Tribolium castaneum: one gene and its partner. The protein of the gene in region 2 binds, or shares a complex with, the protein of the main gene of each other region. Links are inferred from orthologs where the notes say so. Each region holds a gene or a part of one and is shown on either strand. Other genes may lie near its edges.

Evidence for each region.
Region 1: Clbn (region 2) and Nulp1 share a complex: the UniProt entries of both Homo sapiens proteins name them as parts of the ribosome quality control complex. The link is inferred for Tribolium castaneum from reciprocal best matches to the Homo sapiens genes NEMF and TCF25.

The regions. Positions count from the first base shown.
Region 1 is NC_087394.1:30,816,830-30,827,217, forward strand, and holds Nulp1 (ribosome quality control complex subunit TCF25), read right to left. Parts: upstream 6,951-10,388; 5' UTR 6,797-6,950; coding exon 6,665-6,796; intron 6,614-6,664; coding exon 6,437-6,613; intron 6,393-6,436; coding exon 6,187-6,392; intron 6,139-6,186; coding exon 5,728-6,138; intron 5,622-5,727; coding exon 5,208-5,621; intron 5,158-5,207; coding exon 4,908-5,157; intron 4,862-4,907; coding exon 4,683-4,861; intron 4,622-4,682; coding exon 4,432-4,621; 3' UTR 4,313-4,431; downstream 1-4,312. Other genes in the region: uncharacterized protein LOC662435, read left to right, coding at 29-196, 249-418; Ns4 (guanine nucleotide-binding protein-like 1), read right to left, coding at 469-716, 1,280-1,504, 1,553-2,062, 2,112-2,322, 2,373-2,513, 2,562-2,893, 2,943-3,030; selenoprotein S, read left to right, coding at 3,521-3,578, 3,635-3,781, 3,830-4,033, 4,082-4,170; Syx7 (syntaxin-7), read right to left, coding at 7,706-7,954, 8,004-8,134, 8,190-8,437, 8,487-8,556, 8,603-8,705; transcriptional protein SWT1, read right to left, coding at 9,176-9,315, 9,363-9,750, 9,800-9,903, 10,072-10,227, 10,276-10,388. UniProt on the Homo sapiens protein: Component of the ribosome quality control complex (RQC), a ribosome-associated complex that mediates ubiquitination and extraction of incompletely synthesized nascent chains for proteasomal degradation.
Region 2 is NC_087396.1:12,778,867-12,789,490, reverse strand, and holds the start of Clbn (ribosome quality control complex subunit NEMF homolog), read right to left. Parts: upstream 3,026-10,624; 5' UTR 2,870-3,025; coding exon 2,814-2,869; intron 2,766-2,813; coding exon 2,257-2,765; intron 2,210-2,256; coding exon 2,046-2,209; intron 1,993-2,045; coding exon 1,612-1,992; intron 1,559-1,611; coding exon 1,220-1,558; intron 1,174-1,219; coding exon 905-1,173; intron 852-904; coding exon 411-851; intron 357-410; coding exon 196-356; intron 150-195; coding exon 1-149. Other genes in the region: Myo81F (myosin-I heavy chain), read left to right, coding at 3,406-3,433, 6,335-6,441, 9,234-9,296. UniProt on the Homo sapiens protein: Key component of the ribosome quality control complex (RQC), a ribosome-associated complex that mediates the extraction of incompletely synthesized nascent chains from stalled ribosomes as well as their ubiquitin-mediated proteasomal degradation.

The DNA of each region.
Region 1 (10,388 bases), on a different chromosome or scaffold from region 2:
TATAAATGTAACTAAATCAGTGTTTTAGGATCAAAAATTGTGCCAATTTTGGTGGCCAAATTCACTCCCTTAATGTCACACTACTTTGCGCTCAAACACGAGCCAAAGTCCGATGAGGCTTTTCGAAATATTGAATCAATGATGCAGGAGCGAATGATTCTGGCAGACCAGTCTGAGGCACCCCTGAGTGAAGCTTGTAATTGCACAAAACGCAAACACGGATGCGTTCATTTAATTGTTAATTGTAGCCTTGTTGGAGGGTTTATATGTTGAAGCCAGTGAGCAACTGACAAGGGAGGATATTAAAAAACAGAGTCAGGAAATCGTTGCAGCGAATACGAAAAACGAAGATTTAGTTCCACTAATTGTCGTTCCGTTCAACAAGTGGAAGAAAATGCAAAAGCAGCAAAAAAATTAATGGGATTTAATGATAAATTATTAATAAAAATACTCAACATCGTGGTTGTTTCAATCGTCGTCTGCCAACGCTGCAAATTTATTGTGGGCGTAATTCGTCGGCTCTTCATCTGAGTCAGTTTCTTCGTCTTCGCTTTCTTCACTGCTTCGGTCTTTGTGGTCACCGGAGGAGCCCGGGACGTTGTCTTCATCTGAAGCATCAGAGAGGTAGTCTTTGTCGTCTGCGAGCTGAGTGGAATCGTCAGATTTGGCCTGAATCCACTTCACTTTCTCGATCTCCGGGTGTGAGGCCCAATAATCTAACAAATAAAACATAACGCAGTTTCAATTTCTTTTCAACCAGCGTTTGCCCGGAATTTTCATGATTTTCTTATTAGCTAGATCTTGGACAAAAATCAGTGATTCACGTATGCCTTCTAAACATATTCCAAATGTTATTCAACTGAAAACCTTTTATTTTATCTTTTATGTCAAGAGATAAATAAAGACAACTTTTTGTATTGGTTACATGCTGATGAGCAGGATTCTGAATCATATTTGATACGAGTTTGTAAGACAGGCACATAAACGTACAAAGTAATCAAAAATCTTTACATATAGCCACAAAATTAAAAATTATTAAACAACTATTAAACTTGGGAGTTTCAAGTTTTAATGCTAGTCAAAAAATACTTCCAGTTACCCCAAAAAAATTATATCGCAACGATAGAATTTATTATGAGGAAACGATTGCAATTTTCTTCAAAAACTACATTTTTCAATTAAAATATTCCGTATGTTCCAAACGAAGTCAAATGAAATAAAAAAAAGAAGCAATGAGACATCTTATACAAAAAATAACGTTGTTCGACATGTCAACTACCTTTTTTATTTGAGTACTTGGGTGGCCTGAGACACAGGCAAATTTTCCCGTCCAAAGCCATCCTCAGTAAATCATTTGCAGCTCTGTAGCTGTCCAACCTGGCGGCTTTGGCTGTCAGGAAACCCCGTTTTTTGGCCCAGCCATCACAAATGTCCATGGCACACCAAGTATCGTCATTTTCTGGATGTTCAATCCTCAGCATATTTGGTAGATCCATACGTTCCGCTATAAAAAATTCTCAAAACTCACAAGAACAAAAATTAAAAACAATACCTAAATACTTTATCGTTGTGAACGGCTCCCTAAGTTGGGCGATGGGGAAACTCCCCATCAAAACCTGTATAACCTTTGGTGTTTTCGACGGAAAGACTAGACCAGGACAGTCGCACAGCCGCACATTGGGCGTTAAAAAAATTGTTTGGAAGTGTTTCGTATGGCCTGGAGTTCTGGACACGCTGACGACTTTCTTCCCCATGATTGCGTTAATAAGTGACGATTTGCCGACGTTGGGTTGCCCCAAACAGCCGATTGTGAGAATACCGTTTTTGTATTTTTCGTGTTCGAAGTAACTCGTGTCCACTGCTTTCATTTGAACTGTTTCTCCAATTTCAACTTTCTCGTCTTCATCGTTTTCGTATTCCAAATTCATTTCTTCCTTTATTTTGGTTTGCCAAGAACTTATGTCTATATTATCCCCAACTATGGTTTTACAAACTTCAAACAACTGTTGACTCCCTTCTGCAGCCAATCGGAACTTGCCTTTGCGTTTACGGACTTGGAGACCTAAAATTAACAATTAAATCTTGTAATTAATTTATTACACACTACAAACCAGCTCTATTCACTTGGGTGCCAACTAGATTATAGCCAGGGAGTGTGGTAAACATGCAAATGTGCAAATTGGGGTAATTCTCCTCAAAGTATTTTTTCCACGCCACGACTAACGGCGCTGGGGCCAAATCAATTTTATTCAATACTAAAATAAAGTCTTTCTTCAATGTTTCAGTCACGTATTCGTACAAAGATGGGGGAAACATGTGGGCCTACAAAAAGTAATTAAAATTTAATAAAGCAAATTGGGAGGCAGAATTACGGGATATCTGATATCAACAATGTGCAGAACAATATCTGACATTTCGAGAACCCGCCACAACTGCCGCCACGTCTCCAAGTTCAGTTCAAAGAAACTTAACTCTTTCCAATTATACTTTTCCAAGATTCCATTAACATAATCCTGAAATTAACCGATCAGACAAAATAATGTTAATGACAATAACCGTACATTAAAATATTTGGTTTCGCGTGCTTCGAGCTGTTCAGTCGTGAGCTCATATGACCACGGGGGCCTTCGAGGAAAACCCAAGTCTTTGGGAAAATAGTCATTTGAGTCAATTTCCAGCTCTTTCTCAGAGACAGGTTCTATGGTTTTGCAAGCCTCTTCTTTACGTGCTTTGAGCTCAGAGGGAGTCTCGCGGTAAAACTGCAAGGCATAACGGTTGCGGTCTCGCCCGTCCTTAGGGGGACAGTAATTGAATTTTTGAATTTGGGGCTGATCCTCACTATCACCGGCACTGGTCTTCAACAAAGGCCGCCGGTTTCGGGAACCAAAACCTTCTAAAGTGGTTACAATTAGAACAGTTTTCTGCAAAAAATAAGAGGGTACCTTGAGGGGCGTTCTGTTTGGACTGTTTTTTGGCCTTTAGCTGCTCTTTCTTGGCTTTGCCACTGAACGGTTTCTTGCGCTGAGGCATTTTACTTACTGTGCTGTGAACCTGACCTTAAATTTTTAACAGTTTTAAACATTAATTAACACAATTACAGCAACACTACTTTTTATTTTAAAATCAACGAATTCTAGAAAATCACATGGAAGTTACTAGAATCCCCTAGAACCATAGGACACTTGTCAAATTTCAAATCTCATTTTAAAATTTAAAAAGAGCGAATTTACGTTTTTTGTGTGAATTTTGTAAGCACAAAAACGCAACAACATGTGCTGCATATTTTAATAATAATCATTACAAATTAAATGTAATAATTAACCAGATTAACATTTATTTGTCCAAAAAAACCTTATTAATCAAGAGCGCTTGCGTCAATTTTGATTTGACACGTCAGGTGACATTGACATTATTTTGACAGTTTAATAATTAAATTGTAGTTTGTTGTTAATTATTAAAAATTGCAATTGCATCGTAACAATAATATTGTGGAACATTTATATTGAACAAACTGGGAGCGATGGACGAGTTTGAAGCCTTTGAGCAAGAAAACGGCTTCTGGAATCCACTGAATTCAGGTTAGTCCTTAACGCAAAAAAAGGAAAGTTTTGGTAATTAACATTCGCATTTTTAGTCATTTACATCCTTGAAAATTATGGCTGGTATATGCTAATTGCTTGTATAGCTCTAGTAGTGGTATACCAGAAAACTTTAAAATCTTACATCCAAAAACTTAGGGAATACAAATTTGAGAGAGACTATGCGGCTAAATACCACAAGAGTAAGTTACTTTACGAAATTTAGATCGTTTTAACTGGTTTGGCCCCAGATCCCGATGTTTTTGCTGCACATGTCAGTGCCCAACAACAGTGGGCCCAGAAACTCCAAGAAAAATATAACAAAGAATCTGAAGAATATCAAAGAAAAATGAAAGAAAAGGAGGAGAAAAAGCGAGAGGAGCTTAAAAGGAAGTATGAGACTTCTGGGGGTCACGTTTTGGGTAGGAAAGATGATACGAGTAATTTGCGACCAGGTGAGTGTAACACTTGCTGAGTCATGATTTATTGATTCGTTACTGTAGGATATAACCCACTGATGGGCGCTGGAAGTTCGTCCAATTATCGCCCACCTAGGAGAAGTCCTTGTGGAGGCGGAGGATGTGGCAGATAAGACTATCACTTTTAAATAATTAAACTACACAATTATAAATTATTTTTTTAATATTACACTATTGTTGGGCTTTACTTAATTAATTAATTACGAATCTATACTAGAATTAATAATTTAATAACATAACTGAAACTACAAAACGGACAGATTATCAATTTATTTGGTTATATCATAATTGTAATAATAAACATTTTTAGAATATAGCAACAATAAGGAAATAAAAGGTTTAGTGTTTTCTTCACTAGCGAATTAGACTAATTATTAGGTAAGGTCGTCGTAATCTTCGTCAACATCAGCGTCGTTCGGTACTTCCATTTCTGGGGGCCTTATGTTGTTCAACAAGTCTCTCATTGCCCCAACCAATGATACGACACTTCGTCTAAAATCTCCAGCGTCATTGTTTGCGTTTTCGTAAACCGGAAGAGCTGCAGCGCCATCTTCCTCTCTCGGTCTACAAAAAAATTCCACTCTGCTAACTGTGGCTGCGAAAACAACCCAAAAAATGGACTTACGGGTCCAAAAGATTTGGTGGAATCTGATTGGGATTAAAGTTGGGCAAAATCGACCTGAAGAAAATACTTAAAGGAATGGAACTATTATTTGAGACTGTTGGCCGTTTTGGCTTGGTGTAGATGTTGATGGAGTCTTGAGGGGGCAAAGGATCGAACCCTAAGACAGGTCCGCTGAAATCCTGGAATAACAATTAATCCCATGTGTGGTTTTGCACAAAAAATTACATCAGTGATTGGTGTTAGATCCTTGATGTCTGAGAGCAGAATATGTCTCGCTATGCTCCTTGGCAGGGAGCCTTGGTACCTTTTGGCCCGTTTCGTCTCATAATCCTTCACAACTGGGTCATTTTTATCAACTCGATCCAACACTGCGTGCACATTGCGTTCCAGCCAGTGCATCAAATCGCTGTCTTTCCACACATGGTAACACCTACTCACATACAACTGGATCAGCTGTGTCAGAGCGGCCGATTGTCTAAAACACACCCAATATACCCATCTGTTTACATATCACTCATCAATTACTTGTTTTCGTTAACTGAGAAGAATTTGTGCGTCATTACCCTGTTGTCAATTTGCACTGAGCATTTTTCAAGTAAAGGCATGAGTACGCCGGGGAACATTAACAACGCGTTCTGAAGCAAACTGTCGGCTTTGGCCGTTTCGCCGTTCGATGTGTGGAAATGGGCCACGGCTGTTGAGAAAGCAAAGTTTGGGAGTTGGGACAAGTTCTTTGCTGTCTCCCATTCGTCAGCAAAGTCAATCAGCCAGTTGTACTCGCGGGCACGTAAAGCATAAAAGTCAATTGCTAGTTTAATGGCAAGGGGGTCGCCGTCGGGGTCCAGCGAAAGGAGAAGCTTGCAGAACTCGAGGGCCGTTCGACAGCAAGCGCGGCCCCCGACGAAAGTCAGGTGCTTGAAGATTGTTATGTATAAAGCCCTGGAACGTAGGAAAAAACTTTCGATTACAATGCAAAATTTTACAGTAAATTACCAGGCGTTTAAATATAGTAATCTTTTTATTAAAATTTAAAACAAAAATGTACCTGTTTTCCTGCCTTCTGTAGTCCAGCCTGCAGTTTCCTTGCGCAACATTGAAAAGAGGGTGAAAAGCGCACTCCAGGCAATAGAGCGCCCTTTCAATAAACTCAGCTGCCATTGCCAGATCCTCGCTCAATTTACACAAATCTGACAACTGTATCAGGGCATCAATGTGGTAAGGGTGGTCATTAATAATTGCAACAATATTATCAGGATTTAGACTTTCAACTGACTCAAGAAACCTGTTCTGTATCTGGCGGTAACTCTGACTGTGTTCGTAGGTAAAATATTGAATCCCCTGTTTATTTTCGAGCAAGTTCATGGAAAGTCCCGACTTGCCCACTTGGGGCCACGTATCTTTACCACTTACTAGCCACGTTGTCTTTGTATGTCCCCTCCCTCTGTTTTTTCTTTTGCTACAAGAAGAAAGTCAGAAGATCGGGCTTTAAGTGACTATTACCTACTGTTCAGCTTGGATAATTTTTGAGCCAAATATCTTTTTCAATTCATTGTTCGGGTTCAAATGTTTATGTTGCACGGACAGAATGTTCTTATTGTGGACATTTTTCTCGTGCTTGGTGTTGAATGGAGGAGCTGAGGTGGTTTTAGGCAAGTGGCTTTCGCCCAAGAGTCTGTTCACCTCACGAACTGATCTCTCGACTTCGTCGATCTAAAAAGGCAAAGTAATGTTTAACCCATAACTTTGGGTCTTACATCAGCATTGTCCTCGCTGCTTCGCTGCGGATTCACATGTTTCCCTGACTTTTTCTTCTTCTTCTTTTTCTTTCGCTTGACCGCCTCGTGGTTTGGGTCCCCTTCACATGACTTGGCAGCCTCCGTTTCATTGTCGTCTTCCTTGACTTCGCTCTCTGAGTGTGACTGTTGGTTCAGCTGGAAGATGATAATTAACGCAAAATTCGCGTTACTGGAAGGGGCTGTTACCAGATCGTAGCGATTGATGTTGAGTTGTTTTCGTCGGGCACCCCCACTAACAGGAATGTCGGTTTCTGTATCAGATATTTCATCCACAATGTCTTTATCCCCCTGTAATTTTCGCAACACTCGAGAAGACATCACAAGAACAGTAACTTCGCTGGTGACTTGTCTGCTGTTTTATTTCTTTTTCAGGAATATTTTGGTTATCCTTTCCGCAGGAAATCAATGGACTTCTGGAGATTTTTATTTTGATAGATTTGACACACGACTTGTACTTAACCTATAAATCTTTTTGACGTTTCTCCTGTAGAAATTTTGGATTTTTTAATCATTTATTTTTTATAATTGCTTGTTTATGGAGCTTGTTTAGCACCAAGGAATTATTTTAATTTAATTAGTCAATTTACAATCTACACTGAGAACTAAAAAAAATCGATAATCACCAATCCAAGTTCCAGGATTTTTTAATAAAGTAGACTTTTAAGTAACAACTTTTATTTAATACAATAATGGTACAAGTTTGGTGGAATAGATAATTTCTATGTTTGTCTATACTAAAGTTAAAGCATCAGATGCATTTATAATAATCAGAAATAATAAAACAATTAAGCCTTCTTCAAATACAATAGTACCTAAAATATGAACCTACTGTGTAACAAGAGTAAAAACAAACAATAAATGTACAAAAATGCCTAAAGTTTGTAAAATATAACGCATTAAATTAAATTTATGATCAAAGCGGCTTGTAAGTTTCAGATAAGTTGGCTATACTAAGGGGCCACTGATCAAAAATTTAATTAAAAACATGATAAAAATTTGGAGATTATAAAATAGCTTGAAAGTTTCTGCAACAATAAAGTAAAATCGTTACAATCTAAATAATAAATAAATGAGTTAATATCGTAACAGTTTAAATAGAATGACCTTGGCACTGAATTTAAACTGTGGTAAAAATGTACAGCAAAAATAGACTTCGTACAGCTGGATTTAGTACATTTAGATATACATATAATATACATTTCGTGATAGATCCAATACCATTTGCAATTAACTAGTTTTCCAAATAATAATTATAATAATGATAGTTAAGATAACAGCACCAATAATACCAAGAATCATCTTCTTTCTCCTAATTTTATTTTTGTAAGTGCTAGCCTGGTGTAACTGCTGGGCACCTTCTCTCACAAAATCGCTAGTTCTCTCCACATTTGCTTCAATGCTGTCGATAACTTCGCCTTGTTCGTGGACAAGAGCACCCAACTCTTTGAAAATTTGATTGACATCGTTAATATCACTCTAGAACAAATTGTACAGTTATCTATTTTTTTGAGATAAAAGCACATACTTCTAACTGTCTAATGGACTGTTCCTGCTCTTGGAGGGCTCGTAACTCTGATTCTTCTTGAAGTTGCACCTGCTCTTTTGCCGCACTACTGTCTTGTAACTCGATCAATTGTTCGTCTTTTTTATAGCTACCTAAAGTTTAATGTGTGATAGAATAAGCCACTGCTTCCTTCAATAATGAACTTACTGAGGAATGGTTCGCCATAAGCTTGGGCTTTGGCTTTATTGACTTGTTCTTTTTCCTTCTGCGCTGTGCTTCTCTGAGCAGCTTGGAACATGTTCAGGGTTGAAGTAAACTCATCCTGAAGACGTTCTCTTTGCATTTTACGCTGCCGTTGCTCAGACTGGGATTGGGACGGGGATATGGCGTTAAGGTCCTTAATGTAACCATTGGTGTCCTTTACAAGCTGTTGGGTGTAGTGCTGAATGGAATGGCTGCAAAAACTTCAGTAAAAAAATCAATGAATAATGTTTTAGTACGTACAGCTGTTTTCTCAAATCAGGTGAGTCTTGGTGAGTGCCTATCTGGTTTACCATGCGTTGCATTGACGAAACTGTAAAAGCCACTTAATACAGTGATCAAATGAAGGAAAAAGTTACCATTTTGCGATATTTTCTGTATGCTAGTGCCAATGGTTTGAGCCAACTTTTGGAAATCCTGCTCTCTGTTCTGCCCCCCGTTTTGGTACGAAAAACTATCCATATTTTATTGTTTATTAATCTCTTCTGTAAAATCAAACACTTTTATCATTATGATTTGTTTGCTTGGACTAAGGCAAAGAAAGCATAAAACGTTCCATGTCTTACCTAAAACATCAAATAAAATATCGTATTGTTAATCGGAAAGTAATAATTGTTATTTTATTTGCACTTTTAATCAATAACACTTGAGATTGTGAGTCACTGCTTTTATTATTTGACAGATGTCAAAAAATTAAAATCTCATTGACAGACAAGAATGTAAACATTACGGAAATAAATTTCCAAAGCTATACGAGGTATCCTCAAAAAGTAACGATCAATTTTTTTATTAACATAAAATTGGTAGAATTTCAAATAAAACATTTTTTTAACAAACATAATACAATAGTTTATTCCTGAACGGATTACACCGTGGAGATAATAGTTAAACAAATTTTTATATAATTTTAAAGAAAGATTTTGCAGAAAACGCTAAGAATTTTTAAGACTGTTTAAATCCCGTATCGTATTCTCGGTCATAATTTTACAGCACTCGACGTCCTTCAAAAATAGACAAACTCTTAGACAAAGTCTTATGAGGTCATTTAATTCTTTTGAGGTATCATTTATAGCTAAAAAATTAAAATCATTAATAGGAATTTGGTAAAATATAGCCTACTTGTGTGCTGTGATAGAAAGGCTGAAAGATCTTCTATGGCATTCTTACACTGTTTCATTACTACTTCTTGAAACACAGGAAACCAGTATTTTGTAAATGTAGCGATGCATTCAGTTAAAGTCTTTGATGATGGCTGACATATTGGCATTCTGTTACAGGCTTCTCCATAGGCATTTTTAGCGCATTCACGAATTACAGTATTACATAAACATGTCATGATATTTAAAATAGTCGCTGATTTATTCTGCGTTTTTGGCATTATTTCTTGAGAAAGCGGAATATTATTCTGCATTTTTTGTATTTTAAACATTATTTCTTTAGATGAGCATACGGGAATTTTATTGAAATGGGCTTTGTTTTTTAAATTAATGTCATTTGTGAGGAGAACCTAAAAAATTAAGTCACCCAAAATAATTCGATGTGGATTATTGTGTTACCATATTTTCATATTTTTCTAAAACTTGCATACAGCAAGCAATTATTTTGTTATCTTGATTTGCACCTACACTTTCCTGTTCATTAGCTTCCATTAGTGTCTGCCCTGAAAAAATAATTGCTATTACTTTTGTCACTGCTTCCTTATCCAATGAAAAAAGTACCGTGAATTTTTTGTTTACTAGAGCGACTCATGTTAAAGAATAAAAATAAAGTTCAATGGTCATAATAAAAAAATGCAAACACTTCTACGTGAAACATTGTTTCAGTATACCTTTCATTCTATTATGTTTACTACTCATAGTTTTTTCTATTAACTTGATGGCATCTTGAGCTTTCTGTCTGAGGCTACGTTTGTTTGAATCGCCCTTTATAAAGTCTAACTCTTCTGTAACAATCCAGGGAATGAAAATGACTGGCTCCCTGGGTCCTATAACAAGTGTGATAAATATTTATCCATTGTTACACATTTCTTTACCTTTAACAGCTAATGTAACAATGTTAGCAATTATATTCAGCTCTGATAAGAATATATTCGTGTCAACCACAATATAAAACTGACAAGAACTCGTAATTTGTGAATTTAAAGTA
Region 2 (10,624 bases):
TTCTTTTTGTGACCCAGCCGATTGGAGGATTTCCATACGTAATTTGCGCTCTTCCTCGTCCTGATCTTTATACTTTTCCTTGATTTTCTTCAGTTTGCTTTTCTGTCCCCGTTTCGTTTGCTTATTATTCGTTTCTTCTTTACGTTCATCTGCAAATCAATTTTAAAATACGAATCATAAAAAACCAAAAACTACTTTTCGCATCATTTTTCGGTTGTTTGGTTTTCGATTCACTGGTATTTCTCGACCTTTGATTCGGTTTAACCACAACCGGTTTATTATCTCCTAAATACACAACAGTTTCGTTCTCATCCGTTTCATCATTTCTTATCACAGGCTCTGTCAAAATGTTGATTCTAAAAAGTCAAACGTTAAACCACTCGGCAAACGCCTCGGGTCACACTACAAACTTCGTTCCTTCAAAATGTTGGATCTTGATTTGAGTGTCGGGAAATTTTGAACTTTCCTCATCCTCGGAGGAGCTACTGTTTTCTTCATTTTCAATTTCCTTATCTGCTGCACTTTTCACTTCCTCCTTGTTTTCCTCATCGCTTTCATCAAGCACCTCAACTTCCACCTCATCCTTATTCTCGCTCTCAACAGTTTCTACAAAATCTTCTTCGCCTGGCGCTATGACTCTTCTTTCATCCTTGTGTTTCTCAATGCAACTTTCTTCCAATTTAAACAAAAAGCTTAGACCTAGGATCAAGTGTGATAGGGGGAGGAAATTTTTCTTGCCCCTAATCATGAAACTACCGGTACTTAAATACTCTCCGGTTGGAGCTGTCTTACTGACTTGCTCCCCCCAGACCCAGTAGGCGTTAGTTACGACTTTTGCGTCCCAAGCAACACTAAAAAATTATAAAAAAAATAGCAAAACTTTTAATAAGTTACACTGACTAACCTGTAACAAATAGCCATAGTTCCAGCCTCGTTCAAGGTTTTAGGCGGCACTGCTTGACCTGAAGGGTTTTTTATAACAACACTACTAGCACCATGGACATCAGCATGCACATAGACATCGGTCGATTTCATGTAGCGTTTGACAATCAACTCGTTTTGTTGCTGGTCTCGCCCAGCTATAACCAAGTAATTTTCCGAGCTTATAAACCAGAAGAATTTCTCAAACCAGTACACTTTACGAGCTTTATTAATATTTGTGATTGTTTGGACCTAAAAAAACAATTAACAATGTCACCCTGTGATAGCAATATCTTACGTCTTTCAAAGTTTGTTTGGTTTTCTTTTCAGCTGACTTGAACGCTTTGCTTTGCGATTCTATTGTTTTTTGTTGTTTTTTAGCCGCATTTCGCTTTTGGTCATAATATCGTCTCCCGTTAGCAAAAGCCGATAAATCCAAGTCCACATCTACCACCATGGGTGGTATTTTATCGTCATTATCTTCGTCGTCTGACTCACTATCATCTTCAGCGTAAGGGTCAGTAAGATACAGGCTAATGTGGTTAGTTTCCAGCTTTAATTCTTTGATACGCTGGGCGATTTCGTCGCCTTGTGAGGCAGCTTCTTTGATCAAATCGGCCAAGTCAGACCACGAAATCTATAAATAAATCAGTAAAAACTAATTTAACCAATGACTTAAGTTTAATTTACCTGAGTGGCTAAAGCCGTCTGGACCGCCAGAATAGCCTTATCAACAAGCTCCTGATTTCTCGTAATGAGCTCAGCTTTCTGTTTGTCAATTTCTTGTGTTTTTTCTAGAGCAAGTAATCTCTGACTGTGATCCTTCTTCACATTTTCTAATTTCTTCAGAGCTTCCCGTTCTTGTTGTAAAGCTTTCAATTCAAGTTTTTGGCTTTCCAAAGATGAGAAAAACTCATCAACGGCTGAGTTAAACGAGGGAAATTCTTTGGAAATTGACGATTTATGTTGTTCGTACAGAACTGGATGAAATTCCTGATTTGAGTAATAATATTCTTTCTCAGAGTTATCAGCACTCACTACCCTTTCTTCCTTTTTTTGAATTATGTAACCCTGATTATAAAAAAATATAAAAATTTGTATAAAAGACTGTGAGGCCATATTACCTTAAAACCCGTTTTTTTGGCCTCTGAGAAAAGATTTTCGGCTTCTTCAAGAGCGCAGAGAACCTTATCGACATCACTTTCGATATTAAATGTTTTTCCGATTTTGGTGCTATTTGAAAAACCTTGTTTAAGTAACACATGCTCGATGAGAGGAGGGCCATATTCTAGATATAAAAGTTAATAAAAAATCGTAAAAATCGCCAATTTTCACCTAAATTCGGAACGAGCACTTTTTTCAATTGATCTCCGTTTTTCGCAGCCTTTAAAAGTTGAACCAGCTCATCTCTTGTGATTAAACTGCTCTGCCTAGCCCTATCCTGAGGGTACTTTTCCCTGACCACAAACTTAAACCTGTCGCCTTCAGTATGCGGTCGCAGGACATTTAATATCGTGAATTCGAAATCAGTCAAGATGATATTGCCTTTATCGTACAGCTCTAGAATAACATGATACGCAGCTTCGCCTGAACCAAATTGGAAATCGACAATTCTGTCTGTGCCCAGTTGAGCCAAACTCTCCAAGCGTTTATTTTTCAAGTGCTTTCTTAATTTCATGCTGAACCCCGAAGGGGCGACATTTTTGGGCCATTCAAAGCCGGTTTCGTGAAACCTATTGCCTGATTCTAGCAGAATTACCGCTTTTTCTTCACTTCTTTGGAGTCTTATCAGGTAAGTCTTATTGTCAATATCGTAGACGTTGTTCACTCGCATTCCGACACATCTGCAAATTAGAAATAAGTGCCAAAAGAACAATCTTACAGAAAAATACTTTTGGAGTTCTGTGACGGTGCAAATAATATCGAAGGTGTTGAACCGAGTTTTCATTTTGAAAACGGCAAGTTTTTATTTTTTGTTGCTTCCAGCGGAACAAAATTTGACCACGTTGTGTAATTTTATTACACCTGGTGCACAAAAAAATAAAAACACTCAGCTGGGTTTGACGTCTGGCAGGTGGGACAACGCTAGCGCCACCCGTCACTGGGTAAAGTTATGCCCACTTGTGTAATTTGTTATGTAACACGAATTTGGGACCAGTATTATTATTAAAAAACGATTTGAAGAAGTGCCAAACTGTTTTAGTTTTTATTGTAACATTTATTCCGGTTATTTGAGGGCAGGTTCCTGGTTTATCGACTCGTTTTCGTTTGTTTGGCGCTGTGGTCGCAGCACCCCTAGCTTTCGCTTGCTTGATTTTTTCATTTCCAGTTCCAGTTCTCGTCAGACCCTCGAGTTGTTAGTTCTGTTCTGTTTAGTTGAGTGTTGGTGTGTGCAAGCTCTCTTTAAAATGTTCGTGTATTAATTTTTTCGTGATTATTTTCTCTACCGAAATGAATGTTTCCCCGCTGTAAGGATTAGTAACAATGCAGGAATTAAATTTTACTTCAACGAGTAAGTGGAATTTTCGCAACCCCTGTATTTTTAAGGGCGGCATTGACATTTGCTGAATTAACACGGGGTTTTTTGCACTCCTATTAATTCAAAGAACAGTTTTTTTGAAAAGAAACGGTAATTTTTTTCAAAATTATATTTTTTAAGTGAAAAAAATAATAAATTGCGATGGGAGTGGGTGCAGTTGTTTTTCGTTTTTTATAGCACACACCTAGGGATGGGGTTTGTTTAGTGGTTTACATTGCCCTCGAGATTTGGCACACATTTTGCCCCATTTAGGTAAATGGGGGAGGGTTTAGAAAAATTATGATTGTCGATTTATGCATGCGAACACAGTGGGGTTCAAAAGGGCGTATTCGTCACCAAAAAGATAAAAATTATGCTCGCAATTACAGAACGAAATAATAAAATTCAATAGCTATCCAGACAATATTTTTGTATTAGAAATAAAATATGTCAATCTGCGTGATTCAAAAACCAGGTTTTTAAAAAACAATTATCTCTAGAAGGGCAATTTTCATCCCTTTCCCCGACTGGATTATTTGTTTAATCCCCTTTGTAGCCAAACTTTTAAATTTTGATTCATTCGTTTTTTATGATCTCGGCTCAGTTTATTGTTTACATTATCTTGGGAATTAAAATTTTCATTGTGAGGAAAAATCGCAATGAAATTTTTTCTGGCAACACGGAAATTATGAATGATTAAAAAAACTGGTGCTTAAGTGGGGTTGGTAGAAAGGAAAATTTACTTCTGTCTCACAGCTGCTAAAACATACGATAAATAAAATTTATTTCCTCAGTTGGCCACGGACCAAGATTGATTCGTACAAATTTTATTTCTTTCCGAACATCAAGTTAAAAATAGCTTAGAATTGATTATACCTTTGGTATAAATAGGTTTTTCAAGAAGTCGAACTGCTATTTCGTTGGTTTTTGCTTTATGTATATTAAAAGATTTCATTGACCTCACATATTATAATAAGACTTTTCGAGATTTCGACTGAATGTGACCTACGTTTTGGAATTAAATATTTATGTTTGGTGTTATTAAAAAAATGCAAAATAAAAAAATTCAATACCGAATATGAACTGAAACCCATCATTACTTGATCATCTGATCCGGCAAAGCTGAGAACATGAAATTTAGAAGGAAGTAGAATCATTTACAGGAAGATAAAGTAACTACGTGTTTATACATAGGTAGGAAGAAAAATGAGATTGAGATATTAACCCGCTCCTTTTAATAATTTGATTTAGAAAAAAGTCATACCATACTTCGTTTAAAAAATATTATTTTTTCAGCGTTATTTCGAATGTCTTTGAAGAGTTAGAAGAGTCTTCTAGTGTCAAAAGAGTCTTGAAGAGTTAGTAGAGTCTTTGAAAGATCTCGTTTCTTTCCAAAAACTGAAATTATCCAAAGTTTTAGCAATCTAGACATTAGAATTTAGAATTAACTTGTTTCGCTATTTAGAAAATTCGCGTTAAAAATTCTATTAGTATACTAATAGCTGTTTTAAAACTATAAAAATGCCAACGTCGCATTTTACCGAATATATTTTTTTTTAAATAAGGTTGATAACGTTGTAAAAGAGTAGTGGTTGAAACTATTCTCACTGAAACTATTAGCTATTAATTTTTTGAAGTGCTGAATAATTTAAAACAACTAATTTTGAGAGAAAATGCGACTTTGGCATTTTTATAGTTTTGAAACAGCTAATATGTATTTAGTACTAATCTAATAAAAATACGAACTGAAATGTTATCCTTCGAATTCCAAGAAGTTTCCAAAGTTTTTTTAAAGTTATTTTTACCTTATTTAAATAGAAGCCAATCCTTCGATCTTCTTAAATGTTCTCTCATTGAACAAACTCATTATTTTATTTATTCAACTATAAAATATTTTTTGTTAGTTTTTGAAAATAAATTCAGTGTCCATATGAACTTCTTCTTCCTCTTATGAACCATTGAAACATCTTTTCGGTTTTTTCTTTAACAATTTTTTGTAGTTAAAGACTGAAGACGAATAATTTTGTTTATGTGTTACCTAAGACAGGAACACAGAATTTTTTGCTTCAGAATTGAAATACGTTAACGAAATAATTTATACGAGTAGCTCAACTTCTACTAGCTAAACAAACATGGCATTAATTTTATTGAACCTTAAAAATTTAAGGTGTTTAATGTTACTTTGAATTTTTTTCATTTGTTGGCAGAAAAGTGGCGAATTACTTCGTCTTTATTTAGAAAAGTCCATACAAATTGTCAGGAATCCTTGCCTAATAAAAAAAAATGAAAAAAAAGTTGGTGGCCCCCAGTCCTTGAAAATCCGCTTAAGCACCGGAAAAAATGAAAATGGAACACTAATTGCAGTTTATTCAAAGCAATGGGTGTGTAATGACTAATGACAGAAGTTAATTTACGTTGAATAAATTAATTCCAAGACAGGTGTTTTCCTTCCGAACTCTCGAAAATGTCTCGGCTCGTTGTTGATCCTGTTTTACTGCCACCTTTGACACCATCACGAATACGTTTTACGGCTCGTTTTCACCGCATATTCTTTAAATTTCTTTCCCCTTAGTCATCTTCCGTCCCCTGGGCCGACATTTTCTAAATTAAACCATCTGTGGTTGCTTTGAACCATCAAGAACCAGGTAGTTTGGCTAAATTCCAAACAACAATCAGCTAAAGAGCTGGACGCGCGGAGCAGATGTTTTCGACACGTGCCGCTGCCCCAGGCCCCAGCCATCAGCTGGTGCAGCCTTTAATCAATCTTCTATTTCAAACAGGTATTTTTACAAAGACATCAGCGATTTCACCACAATAAACAGCAATGTCAGTGACGCCTGATGTGAATAACAAGCGCATATTTCAATGGTTTATTGATAATTGCGTTTATTTCAGGCGCGATGCCCGACGATGGCGTCCCGGACATGACACGGCTGACAATCCTCGACGAAGAAGTGATAAACAAGAACCTGAAAGTGCGCTACGAAAAAGACCGCATTTACGTATCCTTTTCACCTCTGAGGAATATTTCATAAGCGTGTCGCGTCCGGACTAGAAAAACTAAATAAAATCCCATTTTGAACAACTCGCGCCCAATTCGCATCGATTTCCGATTTGCGTGAATGTCATTGTCACGATGTTGCGTCAGGAGGAATCTAACTCCGGTTTCAATGTTACTCAGATCGAAGCTACCGGAACCGATCTTAATGACTCAACCTTATAGGTTTTTTGACCCAGAAAAATCCATTGATCGGGGTGATTCATTCGGGAACGATTTGAAAAATTTCGGTTTTAATCATCGAGCGCAGAAATGTTATGTACAAGGACGTTTTTTCCGGCACCAGATTGCTCGGGAAAAAGAGTGCATGTTTAGCAGATGAGACAAAAGTTATCTAATTGCGAAGAAAAGTTAAATCATTGGCTTCTGGGGCTCCATATGACGCGATATTGCTCCCTTGCAACTGACATAAAATACCCTCGTTATCTCCATATCGTTCCATTCTGTCAAGTTAACGAATCCGAGGGTGTTGATTGTTGAACGATGACAGGCTTAAGCATTTTTAAGCCGAATTCAGGGTAATAATCAACAATAAAACCAACCCTTAATCGGTCCGCATTGTTTTACGACAAACGAAAGCGCTACTCGAGTGAACAAAGTGGGAAAGAAGTAAAGTAATAATGCGATTCACAGACTCTTTGTTCATTTAAATTTATCACTTATCGCTAACCTGAATATTGTTATCTATTTGCACTAGGGGTACCTTTTCAATACACACTTTCTTCCTGTTTGTCTAAATAAAAAACAAACATTGTGTTTACTACTGTTTACATTTACACAATTAGAGCTATAGTTTTAAAATTTGAAATACGAGCAGGAAAAAAATACAAATTGATAACGGACGGGACATGAAAAAGACTTTACATGGTATTGTTAAACAATCGTTTTAAAATTCTACTAATTTAAACCACGAAACCGAAGAACAAGGCAATATGTGACGAATTCTGATTTTGTTTACACATGACGGACGGGCCAAAAAATCTTTTGTAAGAAAAAAACTCGAAAAAATTTATTCAAGAAGGTTTTTATTATTAAAATCTTTAACAGTATCAAAATTAGACAGTGGAAATTAAAAATTGTTGGTCTTATTTCACGACGTAAGAAATAAGAAGAACGTATATTTGTTTGCAATAACGGACGGGACATGAAAAAGATTTTACATGTTATTGTTAAACAATCGTTTTAATATTCTGCTAATTTAAACCACGAAACCGAAGAACAAGGTAATATGTGACGAATTCTGATTTTGTTTACACATGACGGACGGGACAAAAAATCTTTTGTAAGAAAAAAAAACTCCAAAAAATTTATTCAAGAAGGTTTTTATTATTAAAATCTTTAACAGTATCAAAATTAGACAGTGGAAATTAAAAATTGTTGGTCTTATTTCACGACGTAAGAAATAAGAAGAACGTATATTTGTTTGCAATAACGGACGGGACATGAAAAAGATTTTACATGTTATTGTTAAACAATCGTTTTAATATTCTGTTAATTTAAACCACGAAACCGAAGAACAAGGCAATATGTGACGAATTCTGATTTTGTTTACACATGACGGACGGGACAAAAAATCTTTTGTATGAAAAAAACTCCAAAAAATTTATTCAAGAAGGTTTTCATTATTAAAATCTTTAACAGTATCAAAATTAGACAGTGGAAATTAAAAATTGTTGGTCTTATTTCACGACGTAAGAAATAAGAAGAACATTTATTTGTTTGCAATAACAGACGGAACAGCAAAATTTACGAAGATAAAAAAGTAATATTACTAATCAATTTATTTACCGTTTTCCATTTTGTAAACTACCAGAAATAAGAAACACATTCTTCAAAAATTATTCAGCAGTTCTAGTATGTACATCAGCTGTCAATAGTATTTTATATAATCGCCTACAAGGCAATGTGTGTAAATTTCAGAATCCCCTCTCATTTTAAATTCATAACAAAAACAATTTTTGGCGGAACCGAATCCTGTATTTTGAAAGAAAGTTTACATTCTAAAATTATTTTGAAAATTTCGCTTTCAGCTTAGCCAAATATAATTATGTATTTAAAGCAAAATCTTTCATAAGACAATTAATAATTTGTGAATTCCCTGCATGTGGCGATAATTTATAGCGAGATAAGTCACAGCAAATATTACCTTAAATGGTGACTCACATTGTCACAAATGTTATTCTAGCATTTCTATGTAAACACAGGTCCGAAAAATTTCGGTAGTGTTTAAACACAGTTATCAAAACCTGACTCATAAATAATGGTCTCAAAATCAAATCATTCATTGAAAAATTAAATATTGGGGTTCGCCAACTACGGACTACAAACCGTAATAGGGTCGGAAAGGGCGGAAATTAAGAAATAATTAATGTAACACCATCGGAATCCAGGATAAATGTCTGTTAATTGCGAATGAAAAGAAACCAATTTCTATTTCGGTAACTTCAATAATTAACAATTATCAAATCAATACCTGACTTGTCAGTTTTAAAAACTTAATAACTGACCTGAATTGAAACTAGGGGAGGCTTTGTATCTTTGTAGCGCAAGACAAACAGGAAGACATGTGCTTTTATAATTACTCTCTTTTGCTTTTGATCTGAGCGCAGCGCGTTTGAAGCAAACCAGAGTCTTATCACTAGTGCGAACTAATCAATTACACCCCCTTTCCTGGTGAATATTTTCGCACCAGTTGAGCAGGACCGGACGTCCAATATTTTCCTTAATTGGATTTAGACATACACCGGCTCAATCCTCGTCGCAGTCAACCCTTACAAGGACATTGACATCTACTCTCAAGTAAGCAAACAAAACTTTTTCAGATTAACGATTAGCATTCGTAACACGCGAGATTTCCGGGCATTGTGTGTCACCAATCATTTGCAAAGAGTTTAATTTCGCGCCGTAACATCCAACATCCTCTGGCCTCCCACGCCTTGTGTTAAACAAATTAACTTTGCAAAAAACAGGAGTGTTACACGTGTGATTGTCTCGGCCGTAATTTAGGTTAGAGAAGGGGTAGGTTGATATCAGCGAGGGGCTGTATTGATCAAGGCGGTGGCCACCCCAACGCGTATAAATAAAGATAAACTATGGCAAAAGCCGAAAACAGAACGAGACGCAAACTTGAATGAACCATCCGATTGTAAACGGTTGCTGGCAAGCGGTTTAATAAAGAACCTCTTCTTTATCGTTACGTCTAAACGCATTGTATGGCCATGCGGGCGGAATAAAAAGGTCTCGGGGAGACAATGCCCACTTACGGTGGATTTTGTTTCCTCTTGAAAATTATTCTAATGAAATTTTAACTGTGACGACAGTTTTTACTAGAGGACTTCCAGGCGCGCAGCCAGTTGAAAATTGTCTCTATTGAATCATGATGCGGCTTGAGAGGAATACTCATGAGAGACCTTTTTTCCATAAATGCATACCGTTTTATTTTATATATGCATATAATGACTTGTTTACTGCTGGAAAGTTGTACGGGGTTTCTTTGTTTTGATAGAGAATAATCGACAATAAACGAGCATTTATTTGTGTTATTATCTTGCTTGTTCTTTGGACATGTCTTGGCACTATCGCAATAACGATACGAGTTTTATTGAATTATGCGGCAGGGACGGATGTCCGTTATAGTTTTGCAAATTCGTTATCAGAGGAACTTGCTATCAAATCATCGAAGGAGCTGACCACAGTGGGGTTTTTTAATCATGGAAAATTTTCAGTAGGAAGTTGGCAAAGTTAACAACATATTTGTTGTTCCGAAACATGCCCATTCTCAATTATTTGTCAATACCAAACAACACAATGGAAACTATTTTTCTTTTTTTCTCTCATAAAACACTTCCTTTGTCTGAACCTCGGTCTGAACTAAAGAGAGGAATTAAAAAATCACAGACTAATGAGCTCCTTCGCATATCTGCATCAAGACCTGCAAACATCTTTCTCGTGGAATGCTTTTACAATAAAGCATTTCAATTTAAGTGATAAAACGAAATAATGAAAAAAAAAACAAAAAAAAACAAAAATATTGTTGCATTTACGACTTTGACTAATTTTAGCTAATTATCACGGTTGTTTTATTTAAAATTGAAAACTTTTGTGGTGTTTAATATGTATTTTTTTAA